2 linked regions of the Stegostoma tigrinum genome follow. The protein of the gene in region 1 interacts with the protein of each later gene in a biochemical or structural test. Links are inferred from orthologs where the notes say so. Each region holds a gene or a part of one and is shown on either strand. Other genes may lie near its edges.

What was found. The genes of interacting proteins can lie anywhere in the genome.
Region 2: the proteins of parp1 (region 1) and erg form a complex in vitro, tested with the Homo sapiens proteins (2 studies listed by BioGRID and IntAct). The link is inferred for Stegostoma tigrinum from reciprocal best matches to the Homo sapiens genes PARP1 and ERG.

Annotation. Positions count from the first base shown.
Region 1 is NC_081357.1:10,326,876-10,334,455, forward strand, and holds the start of parp1 (poly [ADP-ribose] polymerase 1), read left to right. Parts: upstream 1-4,567; 5' UTR 4,568-4,599; coding exon 4,600-4,713; intron 4,714-7,580. UniProt on the Homo sapiens protein: Poly-ADP-ribosyltransferase that mediates poly-ADP-ribosylation of proteins and plays a key role in DNA repair.
Region 2 is NC_081365.1:18,303,008-18,310,035, reverse strand, and holds the start of erg (transcriptional regulator ERG), read left to right. Parts: upstream 1-4,019; 5' UTR 4,020-4,069; coding exon of another isoform or gene 4,070-4,108; intron 4,109-7,028. UniProt on the Homo sapiens protein: Transcriptional regulator. May participate in transcriptional regulation through the recruitment of SETDB1 histone methyltransferase and subsequent modification of local chromatin structure.

The DNA.
Region 1 (7,580 bases):
CCGGTCAGTGAGTGAAAAAGTAAAAAAAAATTTCTGAGCAGTTTGTTACTCTATCTCTATTTGTCACTCTGCAAATTATCTTCTTAGTGTCATAGAGAAGTGCAGCATGGATATAGACCGCTTGGTCCATGTTTGACCACCCCAACTTGGTCTGATTCAGAGATAACAAGAACTGCAGATGCCGGGTACAGAGACAACACATTGTGCACCTGGAGGAACACAGCAGGCCAGGCAGCATCAGAGGAGCAGGAAGGCTGACGTTTTGGTCAGGACTCTTCTTCAGACATGGGGGCGGGGGAGGGGGCTCTGAAATAAATAAAGATAGGAGGGGTGGGGCTGGGAAAGGTAGGTGGGATGGCGATAACTGAGTGCCCAGAGGGTTGCAGTGGGAGGGAGGTCCACTGAGATCTTTCCGGAGGGAGGAGGACAATTTCTTGAAGGTGGGCATTTCGAGAAGAGTGCCCATGTGCCCCTGACAATCACACTGTGCCCACGTATCCCTATCAATCACACTGCCCACGAGCCTCTGTCAATCACACCGTGCCCACGTGCCCTGTCAATCACACTGTGCCCACATGCCCCATCAATCACACTGTGCCCATGTGGCCCTGTCAATCGCACTGTGCCCACGTGCCCCGTCAATCACACTGTGCCCATGTGCCCCTGACAATCACACTGTGCCCATGTACCCCTGACAATCACACAGTGCCCACGTGCCCCTGTCAATCGCACTGTGCCCATGTGCCCCTGACAATCACACTGTGCCCATGTACCCCTGACAAACACACTATGCCCACGTGTCCCTGTCAATCACACTGTGCCCATGTGCCCCTGACAATCACACTGTGCCCATGTGTCCCTGTCAATCACACCGTGCCCATGTGTCACTGTCAATCACACCGTGCCCCCGTGCCCCTGTCAATCACACTGTGCCCACATGCCCCTGTCAATCACACTGTGCCCATGTGCCCCGTAAATCACACTGTGCCCACATGTCCCTGTCAATCACACTGTGCCCACATGTCCCTGTCAATCACACTGTGCCCATGTGTCACTGTCAATCACACCGTGCCCACGTGCCCCTGTCAATCACACTGTGCCCACGTGCCCCTGTCAATCACACTGTGCCCATGCGCCCCGTCAATCACACTGTGCCCACGTGTCCCTGTCAATCACCCTGTACCCACGTGCCCCTGTCAATCACACTGTGCCCATATGTCCCTGTCAATCACACTGTGCCCACGTGTCCCTGTCAATCACACTGTGCCCATGTGCCCCTGACAATCACACTGTGCCCACGTGTCCCTGTCAATCACACTGTGCCCACATCAATCATTATGTGCCCAAGTGTCTCTGTCAGTCATTATGTGCCCACGTGTCCCTGTCAATCACACTGTGCCCATGTGCCCCTGACAATCACCCTGTGCCCATAACAATCACACTGTGCCCTCGTGCCATGTCAATCACACAGTGCCCATGTGCCCTGCCAATCACACCGTGCCCACGTGCCCCTGAGAATCACACTGTACCCCCGTGCCCCTGTCAATCACACTGTGCCCACGTGCCACTGACAATCACACCGTGCCCACGTGTCCCTGTCAATCACAGCATGCCCACATGTCCCTGTCAATCACAGCATGCCCATGTGCCCCTGTCAATCACACTGTGCCCATGTGTCACTGTCAATCACACTGTGCCCATGTGCCCCTGTCAATCACACTGTGCCCATGTGCCCATAACAATCACACTGTGCCCATGTGTCCCTGTCAATCACACTGTGCCCATGTGCCCCTAACAATCACACTGTGCCCACGTGCCCCTGTCAATCACACTGTGCCCACGTGTCCCTGTCAATCACACTGTGGCCACGTCAATCATTATGTGCCCATGTATCTCTGTCAGTCATTATGTGCCCTGTCAATCACACTGTGCCCATGTGCCCATAACAATCACACTGTGCCCACGTGCCCCTGACAATCACACTGTGCCCCCATGCCCCGTCAATCACACTGTGCCCCGTGCCCTGTCAATCACACCGTGCCCCCGTGTCCCTGTCAATCACACTGCGCCCCCGTGCCCCTGTCAATCACACTGTGCCCACGTGCCCCTGAGAATCACACAGTGCCCACATGTCCCTGTCAATCACACTGTGCCCACGTGCCACTGTCAATCACACTGTGCCCATGTGCCCCTAACAATCACACTGTGCCCCCGTGTCCCTGTCAATCACACTGTGCCCACGTCAATCATTATGTGCCCATGTGTCTGTCAGTCATTATGTGCCCTGTCAATCACACTGTGCCCATGTGCTCCTGACAATCACCCTGTGCCCATAACAATCACACCATGCCCACGTGCCCCTGACAATCACCCTATGCCCACGTGCCCTGTCAATCACACAGTGCCCACGTGCCCCTGAGAATCACACTGTGCCCCCGTGCCCTGTCAATCACACTGTGCCCCCGTGTCCCTGTCAATCACACTGTGCCCACGTATCACTGTCAATCACCCTGTGCCCACATGCCCCTGTCAATCACCCTGTGCCCACATGTCCCTGTCAATCACACTGTGCCCACGTATCCCTGTCAATCACCCTGTGCCCCCATGCCCGTCAATCACACTGTGCCCACGTGCCCCTGTCAATCACACTGCACCCACGTGCCCCTGTCAATCACACTGTGCCCACGTGGCCCTGTCAATCACCCTGTGCCCCGTGCCCTGTCAATCACACTGTGCCCCCGTGTCCCTGTCAATCACACTGTGCCCACGTGCCCCTGTCAATCACACTGTGCCCCAGTCAATCACACTGTGCCCATGTGCCCTATCAATCACCCTGTGCCCACATGCTCCTGTCAATCACCCTGTGCCCACGTGGCCCTGTCAATCACCCTGTGCCCACATGCCCCTGTCAATCACCCTGTGCCCACGTGGCCCTGTCAATCACCCTGTGCCCCGTGCCCTGTTAATCACCCTGTGCCCACGTATCCCTGTCAATCACCCTGTGCCCCGTGCCCTGTCAATCACACTGTGCCCACATGCCCCTGTCAATCACACTGTGCCCCCGTGCCCTGTCAATCACACTGTGCCCACGTGCCCTGTCAATCACACTGTGCCCACATGCCCCTGTCAATCACACTGTGCCCACGTGTCCCTGAGAATCACACTGTGCCCCCGTGCCCCGTCAATCACACTGTGCCCACGTGCCCCTGTCAATCACACCGTGCCCCCGTGTCCCTGTCAATCACACTGCGCTCCCGTGTCCCTGTCAATCACACTGTGCCCACATGTCCCTGTCAATCACACTGTGCCCACGTGCCACTGTCAATCACACTGTGCCCATGTGCCCCTAACAATCACACTGTGCCCCCGTGTCCCTGTCAATCATACTGTGCCCACATGTCCCTGTCAATCACACTGTGCCCACGTGCCACTGTCAATCACACTGTGCCCATGTGCCCCTAACAATCACACTGTGCCCCCGTGTCCCTGTCAATGATACTGTGCCCACGTGTCCCTGTCAATCACACTGTGCCCACGTCAATCATTATGTGCCCATGTGTCTGTCAGTCATTATGTGCCCTGTCAATCACACTGTGCCCATGTGCTCCTGACAATCACCCTGTGCCCATAACAATCACACTGTGCCCACGTGCCCTGTCAATCACACTGTGCCCCCGTGTCCCTGTCAATCACACTGCACCCCTGTGCCCCTGTCAATCACCCTGTGCCCACGTGCCCCTGTCAATCACACTGTGCCCACGTGGCCCTGTCAATCACCCTGTGCCCCATGCCCTGTCAATCACACTGTGCCCCTGTGTCCCTGTCAATCACACTGTGCCCACGTGGCCCTGTCAATCACCCTGTGCCCTGTCAATCACCCTGTGCCCACGTGCCCCTGTCAATCACACTGTGCCCATGTGGCCCTGTCAATCACCCTGTGCCCCGTGCCCTGTCAATCACACTGTGCCCCCGTGCCCCTGTCAATCACCCTGTGCCCCGTGCCCTGTCAATCACACTGTGCCCTGTCAATCACCCTGTGCCCTGTCAATCACCCTGTGCCCACGTGCCCCTGTCAATCACACTGTGCCCCCGTGTCCCTGTCAATCACACTGTGCCCCCGTGCCCTGTCAATCACACTGTGCCCACATGCCCCTGTCAATCACCCCGTGCCCTGTCAATCACACTGTGCCCCCGTGTCCCTGTCAATCACACTGTGCCCCCGTGCCCTGTCAATCACACTGTGCCCACATGCCCCTGTCAATCACCCCGTGTCCCTGTCAATCACACTGTGCCCCCGTGTCCCTGTCAATCACACTGTGCCCCCGTGCCCTGTCAATCACACTGTGCCCACGTGTCCCTGTCAATCACACTGTGCCCACGTGGCCCTGTCAATCACCCTGTGCCCACGTGCCCCTGTCAATCACACTGTGCCCCCGTGCCCTGTCAATCACATTGTGCCCACGTACCCCTTCCCCCGTATCCCCGCCCCTCCCGTGTCAGTCCCGCCCCCGCAGGGCCCCGCCCCTTTCCCGCGCTCGCTGGGAGTGGGGTGCCCGCTGCTGCCTCCTGCAGGCGGGGCCGTGCAGCTGCTGCGTCGCCATGGCCGACGAGAAGCTCTTCAAGGCGGAGTATGCGAAGAGCGGGCGGGCGTCGTGCAAGAAATGCGGCGAAAGTATCGCCAAGGACTCGCTGCGGCTGGCCATCATGGTGCAGGTGAGCGATCGCTGGTCGGGACCGGCGAGAGTTTGGCCCCGGGCTGCTGACTGGCAGCGGGGATGTTCCCCCCGCCCCCCCCCCTTCAGCGTGCAGGCCTCGTGTTGTAGACCGGGGCGGCCGCAGGTTTTTTGTGGGCATGCATCCTGCTCCTTTTCAAAATGCATTATTTTTTATTCCGTTTCTGGTGATTCTGGGTTTTGTATCCGCCACCTCTTTGACCTTTCTGAGCTGCTGTGTTTTGCTGATGACTCACGCTGTAAGCCAGGCCTGCAACATTCATTGAAAATCATTGCAACTTCCATCCTCTTCAGAAGCCCCATTTTCAAAGTGACCCCCCCCCTCCCCCGTTGATTAAATATTAATTGCGAAAACCTCTTTTTTTTTCTTCCCCCAAATGCATTGCTAAAAATCCCAGTGATTATCTGCAGACGCATGCCCACCTTGTAGACTGAGCTCAGAGTGGTCGTCCTCTGGTGAAATCCTGCGTTTCGTTTTTTTTTATATATATATACACTTTTGAGACAGATTCTTTCACAGCAAAAGGCACGGTCAGAATCCGAGGGGAATTTTAAATCTTCAGAAATGCTGTTTGACCCACATAACTAACTGGATCAGCTGGGTCTTGTGGCTCAGACAATGCAAGTGGAAGGGGGGGTTGGGAATATTGCAGAGGACCACAAGCATGCTGTTGTAAGCCAAAAAAAACAGTGGAAGGTCTGAGAAGTGGAATCAAGACGTGCTCAGCAGGTCTGGAAGCATCTGTGGAGAGAGAAGCTACTCAGTTGGTGTGTGTGTGTGTGTGTGTGTGTGTGTGGTGTTTAACGTCACAGTTAAGTGTTTGATCAGAGCTAGGACACAAGAAGCAAGTTTTAAATGAGGGGCTGGGTGGAATGTCATGGGACGTAAGACAGGAAACACTAAGTGACCCATCTTTCAGTTGCTCAGAGCCGAAGAGGGTGATAATGGGACAGTAAAGAGAATCATGGACAGTTGTCTTCAGGAATCAAATCGAGTGGAGTGCGGAGCAAGGCTGATGCCTGGAAAGAAAACAGCGGGGAGAGAGAGACAGGATTTACATTCCAGGATTGTTGAAATCCATGTTGAATGTGGAAGACTGTAATGTGCCAATTTGCAGAGTGGAACATTGGCTGGCAGCAGGGCAGGGATGTCAGTTTGAGAGTAAGGTGGAGAACTAAAATAGCCACAGGAATCTCTGGGATAGTACGAACTGCTGATGCTGGAGTCTGAGATAACAAGGTGTGGAGCTGTATGAACACAGCAGGACAGGCAGCATCAGAGAAGCAGGAAAGCTGACGATTAGGGTGTGGAGAGAGAGATAATGGGAACTGCAGATGCTGGAGAATCTGAGATAACAGTGTGGAGCTGGATGAAAACAGCAGGCCAAGCTGCATCTTTTTCAGAAATGGGGGAGGGGGAGGGGACTCTGAAATAAATAGCGGGAGGAGGAAGTGATGATGGAAGGTGGATAGAGGAGCAGATAGGTGGAGAGGAGACAGACAGGTCAAGGAAGTGGGGATGGAGCCAGTGTACGTAAGGATTTGGGATGGGGGTTGGTCATTTGGGAGGGAGGGGCGGGCAGGTGGGAGGGAAACTCGGGCTCGCTCTCACAGACAAACAGTCTGTGAGAATGCAGTCTTTGCAGTGGAGGGGAGTATAACCAGGTCAGTGTGGGAGTTAGTGGTCTTACAATGAATGTTAGTCAGCAATCAGTCTCAGAAATAGAGACACAGGGGAAGGGAAGTGTTGAAGATGAACCATGTTGAAGTTGAGGGGGTGGTTTAGAAGTTGATGATATTTTCCAGTGCAGGGGTGTAAGCAGCAAACAGAGAACAATGCAGTCATTAACATGCGGATGAAGACTGGAGGGAGGAGGCTGGAGTGGTGAAACCAGAACAAGGAGAGCAGGAAGTCTCAGCAAAACCTATTGTTTGGAAGTAAGAATGAAGGCTGGCAAAATAATAGAAAGAATGTGATTCTAATTGGGTAGTGGGAGTCGGGTGCAGGAACACAGAGGCCAGGGGATACCTGCATGTGTTTACAGAACCTATAGGCAGTGGGATGAGCTGAAGAGCCCCTTTCTGTGCTGTGGATCTCTGTGACCCTTGAAAGTGGCATAGCAAGTTGAAAATGTGGCATTAAGAAGGCACGAGGGATTCTGTTGCAGACGCATTGTGTACAAAGTCAAGAAATGTGTGACGGGCCCTTCTGGAAGGTCGGTTTGACCTCGCTGCGAGTATAGTGTGCAGTTCTGGGCACCACACTTCAGGCAGAGCTGTTTGAGAGGATGCAGTAAAGATTCACGAGATGAGTTATGTCAATGGGTCAGAGAAAAGATCGACAGGGGGATTTGAGAGAGTTGGTAAAAATTGGGAACGAGTCTGAAATGAGTGAAAACCGAAAGAACTGCGGATTGGATTACCACCTTGAGTTCTTCTTGTACAGAATGCGTAGGCTGAATGGCCTCTTTCTGTGGTGTAACTGTTTTATATTGTGCTGAGAGGCATCAAAGTGGAACAGTGTCGGTCATTAAGGATATTGAGCCCCTTGTCATTGTGCATTCCTGCAGAGACAGCCTCCTGCCCCACGTAGGATGCAAACTTTTCTGAAACGAATGTTGAGTTTTTACTCTGCTGTTCACTCATGTTGCCACGTGTTTCCCACTGTGTGTGAGACAGAACATCCTTCAGGTCCTGATCCTCCCTCGCTAAACACATTGACAGTGTCAAGCCCCTTGAGAATCCAGTGTTGAGAGGATGTTTACCATCGTGGCAGAGTCTAAGCCCAGAGGGCACATTCTCAGAATAAAGGGGTGCCAATTTAAGATTGGGATGAGGAAGAATTTA
Region 2 (7,028 bases), on another chromosome or scaffold:
TTTCGCCGATGAAGGTATTTTTTTCTGCTTTAATGATGCAGTAAACAGAATGCTGGTCCACAAAAAAATGTCTACATTAAATCAGATACCAATTATATTTTTTCTACAAACTTCAAATAAGTCACAACACCCTTATTATGTGCAGTTGATAATGTCTTTATCAACCAATCAGAACTTAATAGGCAAAAGAAGATGAATGGCACATTGTTTTTGTAATTTTAACTGTTGGCTTGTTCGTACTGCTAACACTTTAAGTAAAACCAGTACTGTCACAAAACTAGGCTTAGTTATGTGGCTTGTTTCTATGAAATGAGGATGTTATGAAGGAGAAAAGACTTGTTGTTATATAACAAGATGTAGAGCTGGATGAACGCAGCAGGCCAGGCAGCATCAGAGGAGCAGGAAAGCTGATCCAGAAGGGTCCAGACACAAAATACCAGCTTTCCTGCTGCTTTGATGCTGCCTGGCCTGCTGTGTTCATCCAGCTCGCTACCTTGTTATCTCGGACTCCAGCACTGGCAGTTCCTACTATCTCTTGTTGTTATATAATATCTGTTATAAACTCAGCAATTCCAAAATGCTTTACTTTACATTATGTAATGGTGCATAAGAACAGAAGTAAGTTCACACCTCATTGTGGCTATTCTGCTATTCAATTAGATCATGTTTGGTTGTACATTAACTTCATCTGCCCACCTTAGCTCCATAGGCCTAAAAGGCATACTGAAGCTGCTTGGGTCTCTGAGTATTAGAAACAGCTTCGTCAGGTTGTCAGAGCCCCAGCAGTAGTTGACATCTTCCATGTCACTCAAGTCTTGTTTATAAAGGCCTCAACTTTCTCAGCTTTGATCTGGTTGAGGCCAGTCAAACCTATAGGCCTGTCATTCATGCTTACCCCACAGGTTTTCCACAGACCCAGGATGACTTCTTTGTCAGATATTTTCTGGGCATTTGACACTGTGAGGGTCCCTGTCAAAGACTGCCCCAAGCCAGTGTCTGCAGGGGCAGGCTCTATCCTCTATGGGCAGGTGGCAGCCTTTGGGACAATGTTTGAGGCGGGGGAGGGGCACAAGTATTGAGAGCTGAAACAGTTTTTTGAAAAGCACGAGTTTCCATCAGTCTTTTCCCTTTCTTCCCTCTGAGGACCTGCCTGCATTTCCCTGCTGACCAAAAGCAGAAGAGCACAGTGTGAAGTTCAGCTGCCAAGATGGAAACTGGCAGCCAAATTTTGCAGGCCATTGAGGTGGATCAGCATGAACTTGATGGCCTAGTGAGAATGGCTACTCTTTCAGTGGAGGTGATGATTGGTGGGAATAGCTTGGACAACACAGACACAAAGCTAGAAGAGGACTCCTCACTCCTCTGTGTTCTGTGCAAGGGCATGGACTGTCTCTGGAAATGCTGACAGAAGCACATGCATTTTCCACCACGTTGCATGAGTTACATTAGTGCACATCCTCTGAGGCTCAATATTTGTATCCAGCTAAGCAGAGTTTGGATTCACCTACATCCTAGCACATTTACTGCTCACTATTTCTACTGCTGTACTTCTTATGCCATTCTATAACTCGTGTATCCTTCCAACTGGTTTGGAAATGACTCACAAGTGCCGTTGTGAGCCTTGGTGGCATCTCTTCAAATTGAGACCCCTCATTAGCTGGATCATCCTGTCCATCCTCCCAGATTGGACGGAGAACTTGGAGGAGGATGAGCAAAGATGCACAAATATTTTCATCAGGCTTCTAATACGAAGCTGCTTTGACCTGAACTGTAGCCTCCATTTTGAATGGCCTGAGATTTTTTTTTGAGATATTGAGAAACAACCTCGCATTGTTGTGGTGCTTTTTCCAACCTCAGGATATCTCAAAACGCTTGGCAGCCTTTGCAGTATTTTTAAAGTGTTGTTATTGTTGAAATGTAGAAACAGCCGGGACTCACAATCAGCACGATCATACAACAGGGATATTGAACAAGGGATGATTATTGATCAGGATAGAATCTAGAATTTTTATAGTGCAGAACACATTCAACTCTTTGTGTCTGCACTGGCTGTCTGAGCATTTTGGTTTAGTGCTAATTTTCTGCCCTTTCCCTGTCATCCTGCACAATGTTTGCATTTAAGTAATCACCTAGTACCTCCTAAATGCCTCAGCTGGACATATGTCCACCACACTTAAAACTAGTGCAAGTATTTCTTTTGCACAACCTTTTGAATCTGTCATTCTGGTCTTGATCTCCTTATAAGCAGGAATGGTTTCTCCTGATGTATTCTGCCCAGACCCCACATCATTTTGGAAACTTCTATCAGCTATCCTTTAAGCCTTCTGCTAGCTGAGTAAACATAGACCCACTCTCTCCAATCTATCCTCAAGGCTGAAATTTCTCATTCCTGGAATCATTCTCGTAATTGTTTCCATACTCTGTCCTCACTTGTCTCATTCCTGAAATGCAGTGCCCTGAACTACACCCAATACTCCATTTGATGTCTCACTCCAATCCTATATAAGTTCAATATAGCGGAAGAGTTATCCTGTTGCACTTAGAATAATGCCAAAGGATCTTTAATGTACACAGGAAAGGATAATGTATGCTTCAGTGTTTTATTCAAATTAAGGAATATAGAACTAAAGCAAGTGACTGGAATGAAGACACATTAATCATGACTGATTGTCACGGCTGCCTTTAGAATGCTGAATAAGCATGGAAAACAGGAGCAGAATTAGGCCTTTTGGACTTTTGAGCCTGCCCCCATTCAGTATTATCATGGCTGAACATCCAAATCAATATCCTGTTCCCACTTTTTCCTTTTTACACTTTGATCCCTTTAACCCTAAAACCTATTTTGGCCTCCTTCTTGGAAACATCTATATTATGGTCTCAACTGCCTTCTTTGCCAAAGAATTCCACAGGCTCATCACTGCGCAAGGCTGAATAGTCTGGGGTTATTTTCCCTGGAGTGTTGGAGGTAAACTTATAGAAGTTTACAAAATCATGTGGGACACGGATAGGCGAATAGCCAAGGTCTCTATCTGAGGGTAGGGGAGTCCAAAACTAGATGGCATAGATTTAAGGTGAGAGGGGAAAGGTTTGAAAAGGACCTGAGGGGCAACTTCTTCACACAGAGGGTGGTACATGTATGGAACAAACTTCCAGAGGTAGTGATAGAGCTGGTACAATTACAACATTTAAAAGGCATCTGGGTGGGTATATGAATAGGAAGGGTTTAGAGGAACATGAGTCAAATGCTGGCAAATGAGCCTAGATTAATTTAGGATATCTGGTTGGTGCAGACAAATTGGACCAAAGGGTCTGTTTCTGTCCTGTATGACTCCGTGACTCTGGGTGAAGAATGGCTTCATTTTATGCATTGTTTATTTCTCTGATCTCTTTATTCCATAACTTTTCAAACAAGTTACTCCTAAATCATTGATAACATTGAATTCTCACGAGAAACTAACCACAAAGGTCTTTGAGGATTGACAGGCTTGCATTGTAGATGCACCTAAAACAATATCAAGCCTGATCTGTGAGCACTAAATAGGGATTCAACTTTAATTGGATTGGCCCCGACAATGCAATCATTTTCCATGATGATTATGCTTCTAGAAGAGACAAACTCAGGTCTGACTTATTTTTCAATGCCCTATTTTATTTGCAGAATTCCAGAATGTCTGTGGGTTTTCATACGCATGGCATTGCTTATGTAGAATTAAAGAGAAATCCCAGGACAAGTTCTTTAACCAAAAATGATTCCATTATTCAAAACATCTGATGTCATTGAGCTATTTATGATTTTGGAAAGCTCAGTGTGCTGAGGTTAGTCTGGAACTGACATCATCTGCTTCTGGCCATTTCAAATGTATGTTTCCGCAGTTAAATTTGTCTTCTTTAAATCTGGTCACTCAATTGGCTGGCACAGTTTGAATTTGTTGTTGTATTGTATTGTTAGTTTACCTGGCTACACGTGTAGAGCAATTCAAATCCCTGTTGATCTAATCCTTCTTTCCCCTTGTACACAGGAATTGTGAGGCTTGCACTGTCGTTGTATTCTGCACCTCAGCTGAAGGACATGATTCAGACTGTCCCAGACTCAGTGGCTCATATTAAAGTAAGTCAGTAAGATACGTTTCTGTTAAGTTATTGCCTGTGAATGGGAGTTGAGAATGTGGGAGTTGTTATGGAGCCATTCTGGTGCTGATTAATTATTTACATGTGTATTTCTCAGTAAAGCCCTGCAAAATGTTGAAACATGCGACAATTGATATTTGCCAATCCGAAGCAATCTCCAGTGTCTTCTGTTGTCCGATTGCTTCCAGTTTACAAAGAGACAAAGGGCAAAAAAAGACTTGCATTTACGTAGCAACTTTCATATCTACAGGATGTTTCAAAATACTTGGCAACCAGTGAAGCAATTCTACAGTGTAGTCCCAACTTATGCTGTGAGCATAACTCATTTGCACACAGCAAACTCCACAAACAGAAATGTGATAATGACCAGATTATATGAATTTCATATTAACAAGAATAAATAATGACTGGTGCATCAGGATTAACTCCCTTGTTGTTCTTTGAAATATTGCCCTTGGATCTCTTATGTCTGCCTGAAAGGGAACTATGGTTAATATCAAATTCAAAAGGCAGCATCTCTGACCATGCAGCACTCCTACAGTACTGCTCTTGAGTACTAACCTCGATTATTGCGCCCAAGCGGAACTTGAGCTTGCATCTTTCTGATTCAGATATGAGCATTGCATCAACTAAGCCAAGGCCGAAACCTAACTAGAACCAAGAAGAGAGTCAGGGATTATAGTTATTTATGTGCTTGGCTGGATTAGTTGGTGGTTGCAGAAGTGAGACCCACACTAACTGTGAAAACTTTATTTTTAACCCTTAAGATCTACACACCTCAACTAACGTAACTTAGTTTGCTGTTAAAGTTGTGTTCGATAAACACCCCTACGTTGTGATGAGATACTATGAAGATTTCTGCTTCTGATCTCTGTCTACTCTCTCTGACTTTACTGGATAGTGTGTGTGCATGTGAGTTTGTCTATGTGAGTGTGTCTCTGCGTTTGGTCCTATAAGGTCTCTGTATGTACGTGTATGAGACTGATAGAATCAGATAGCTGAGGTGGTGTGTTCTATTGAGATTTACTGTATAGACTCCATAAACGAAGGAAGGCTGCTTGATGAAGCGTCAAAGGCTAAGCAACATACCCTCAGTGCTGTTTGATGATGCTTTAGTGAAGTAGCCTGGAGATGTTTTATTCTGTTAATGAAACTATATCAATGTAAAATGATGTTGCGGCTGAGCTGCTTAATCTTTTAAGACAGGAGGGAGGAAGTTGGGCAAATTAAATATGAAATAAAGAGTAGAGTTTTGCAGATAACATACTTACTGCCAAATCAAAATGGGCACTCAATAGTTTTAGTTTATGAGCAGGCTGTGGCCATTTCTGAGTTCAAGCAATTAAGAGTCTGTGACAAGTGATCGCAGCTACACAGAGGCAGAAACAAGAGATGAAGAGTTTCCACTGAGGTACAAAAAGAGTGAGAATCACTGCTGTTAATTGGCTCAATTTCGTAAGTGTAGCTTCAGATTGTAGTCTTAGGAAATGGGCTTTTATTGACAATCTTCATTAACCAAAGGCTTCCTTATCAAGGTGATAGAACATTTAAAACAAAAGGAACAGAAGTAGGTCATTCATCCCTAGAAGCTTGTTCCACCATTAATTAGATCCTCTTTCCATCTCTCCATCTATTTGCTTTAATTTTGTAGCCCTCAACATCATTGTTAGCATAACCATAATACACAAGAAAGTATGAGCATTCAGTTATGGACCCAGACCAAAAAAGATTGTAGCAGTTCAAGAAGACAGCTCACCAAAACCTTCCCAAGTCAAGCCACAGTCGGGCAATAAATGTTGGCCAGCCAGTGACTCCCAAATTCCAGCAACAAATAAAATGGACGGTGAGCAATGTTTGGGATGTAAAATGCTGCTGCTTCTTGGTACAAGTTATGAAAGAGGATCAAAACACGAGCAATTTTCCAGCAAGAGAAACTTATTTCTATTTAACGCCAGACATGTACTAAAATCTGGCAACATTGCTAATCCTTCAGCGAAGGCACTGTCCTAGGTTCACGAAGGATGCACAACATAACTTCTATCACTGGTATGCAACCCTCCCCTAAAGAGATTAAAAATGATATACAATCATCCCTTCCAACCCCACCATTTAAATTATAACTAAATATAATGGGCAAAGGAGTGACTCATAGACAACTTCAATGCTGTTTGTATAACCTCTGGAACATTGCTGAAACTAAACCCCTTAAATTAGAATTTGGCCTGGTAATCTTGGAGATTATTACTGCACCTCCCGTGTACAAACCTCAGTTCTACAATAACATGGTTATATTTCAGAGAAAGTCCAATCTTCCTCTACACCTCTGTGGGAAAGGCACCTTAATATTGGATCCAACATTTTTGCCATCTTTCAGCTGCTCAATTTTTCTATAGAGTGCAGCTTCATTAACATATGGAAATGCTGGCCGCTTCCTAACCCATCTCTGTTAAAACTGGGTGGATGTGTTCCAGGCAGATTGAAGGATTCAGAATTTTGGAATTAGCCCGTCGAGTTCCCATGAAAGAGTGACAGGGAAATGTAATAAGAATGGGCTAAGCATTCATGTGATAGTACTTGGCATTTGTAGACTATTAAGGAATTTTGTGTTCCATGCAGAGCAGTCAGCATGGCTAATTCTTTTCACATACAACTTATTGCTTTTGCATCATTTTATAAATTTATGTGATTCATGGCGAGTTGAATCCTTGTGAATCATAAAATTATTATTGTAGGCAGGTTAAACAGAGCAGGTCACCAGGAAAAGGAAGGTCCTTTAATTAATTAGAAAGCAACCGAACATCAGGTAAAGCTGTTAGATCCTAAGAACAGTTGTTATGTGAGGTAACAGGATATGCACAAGTTATGTTAGTTCCTGTCTTTTGAGGCAGGGCAGGAGCATG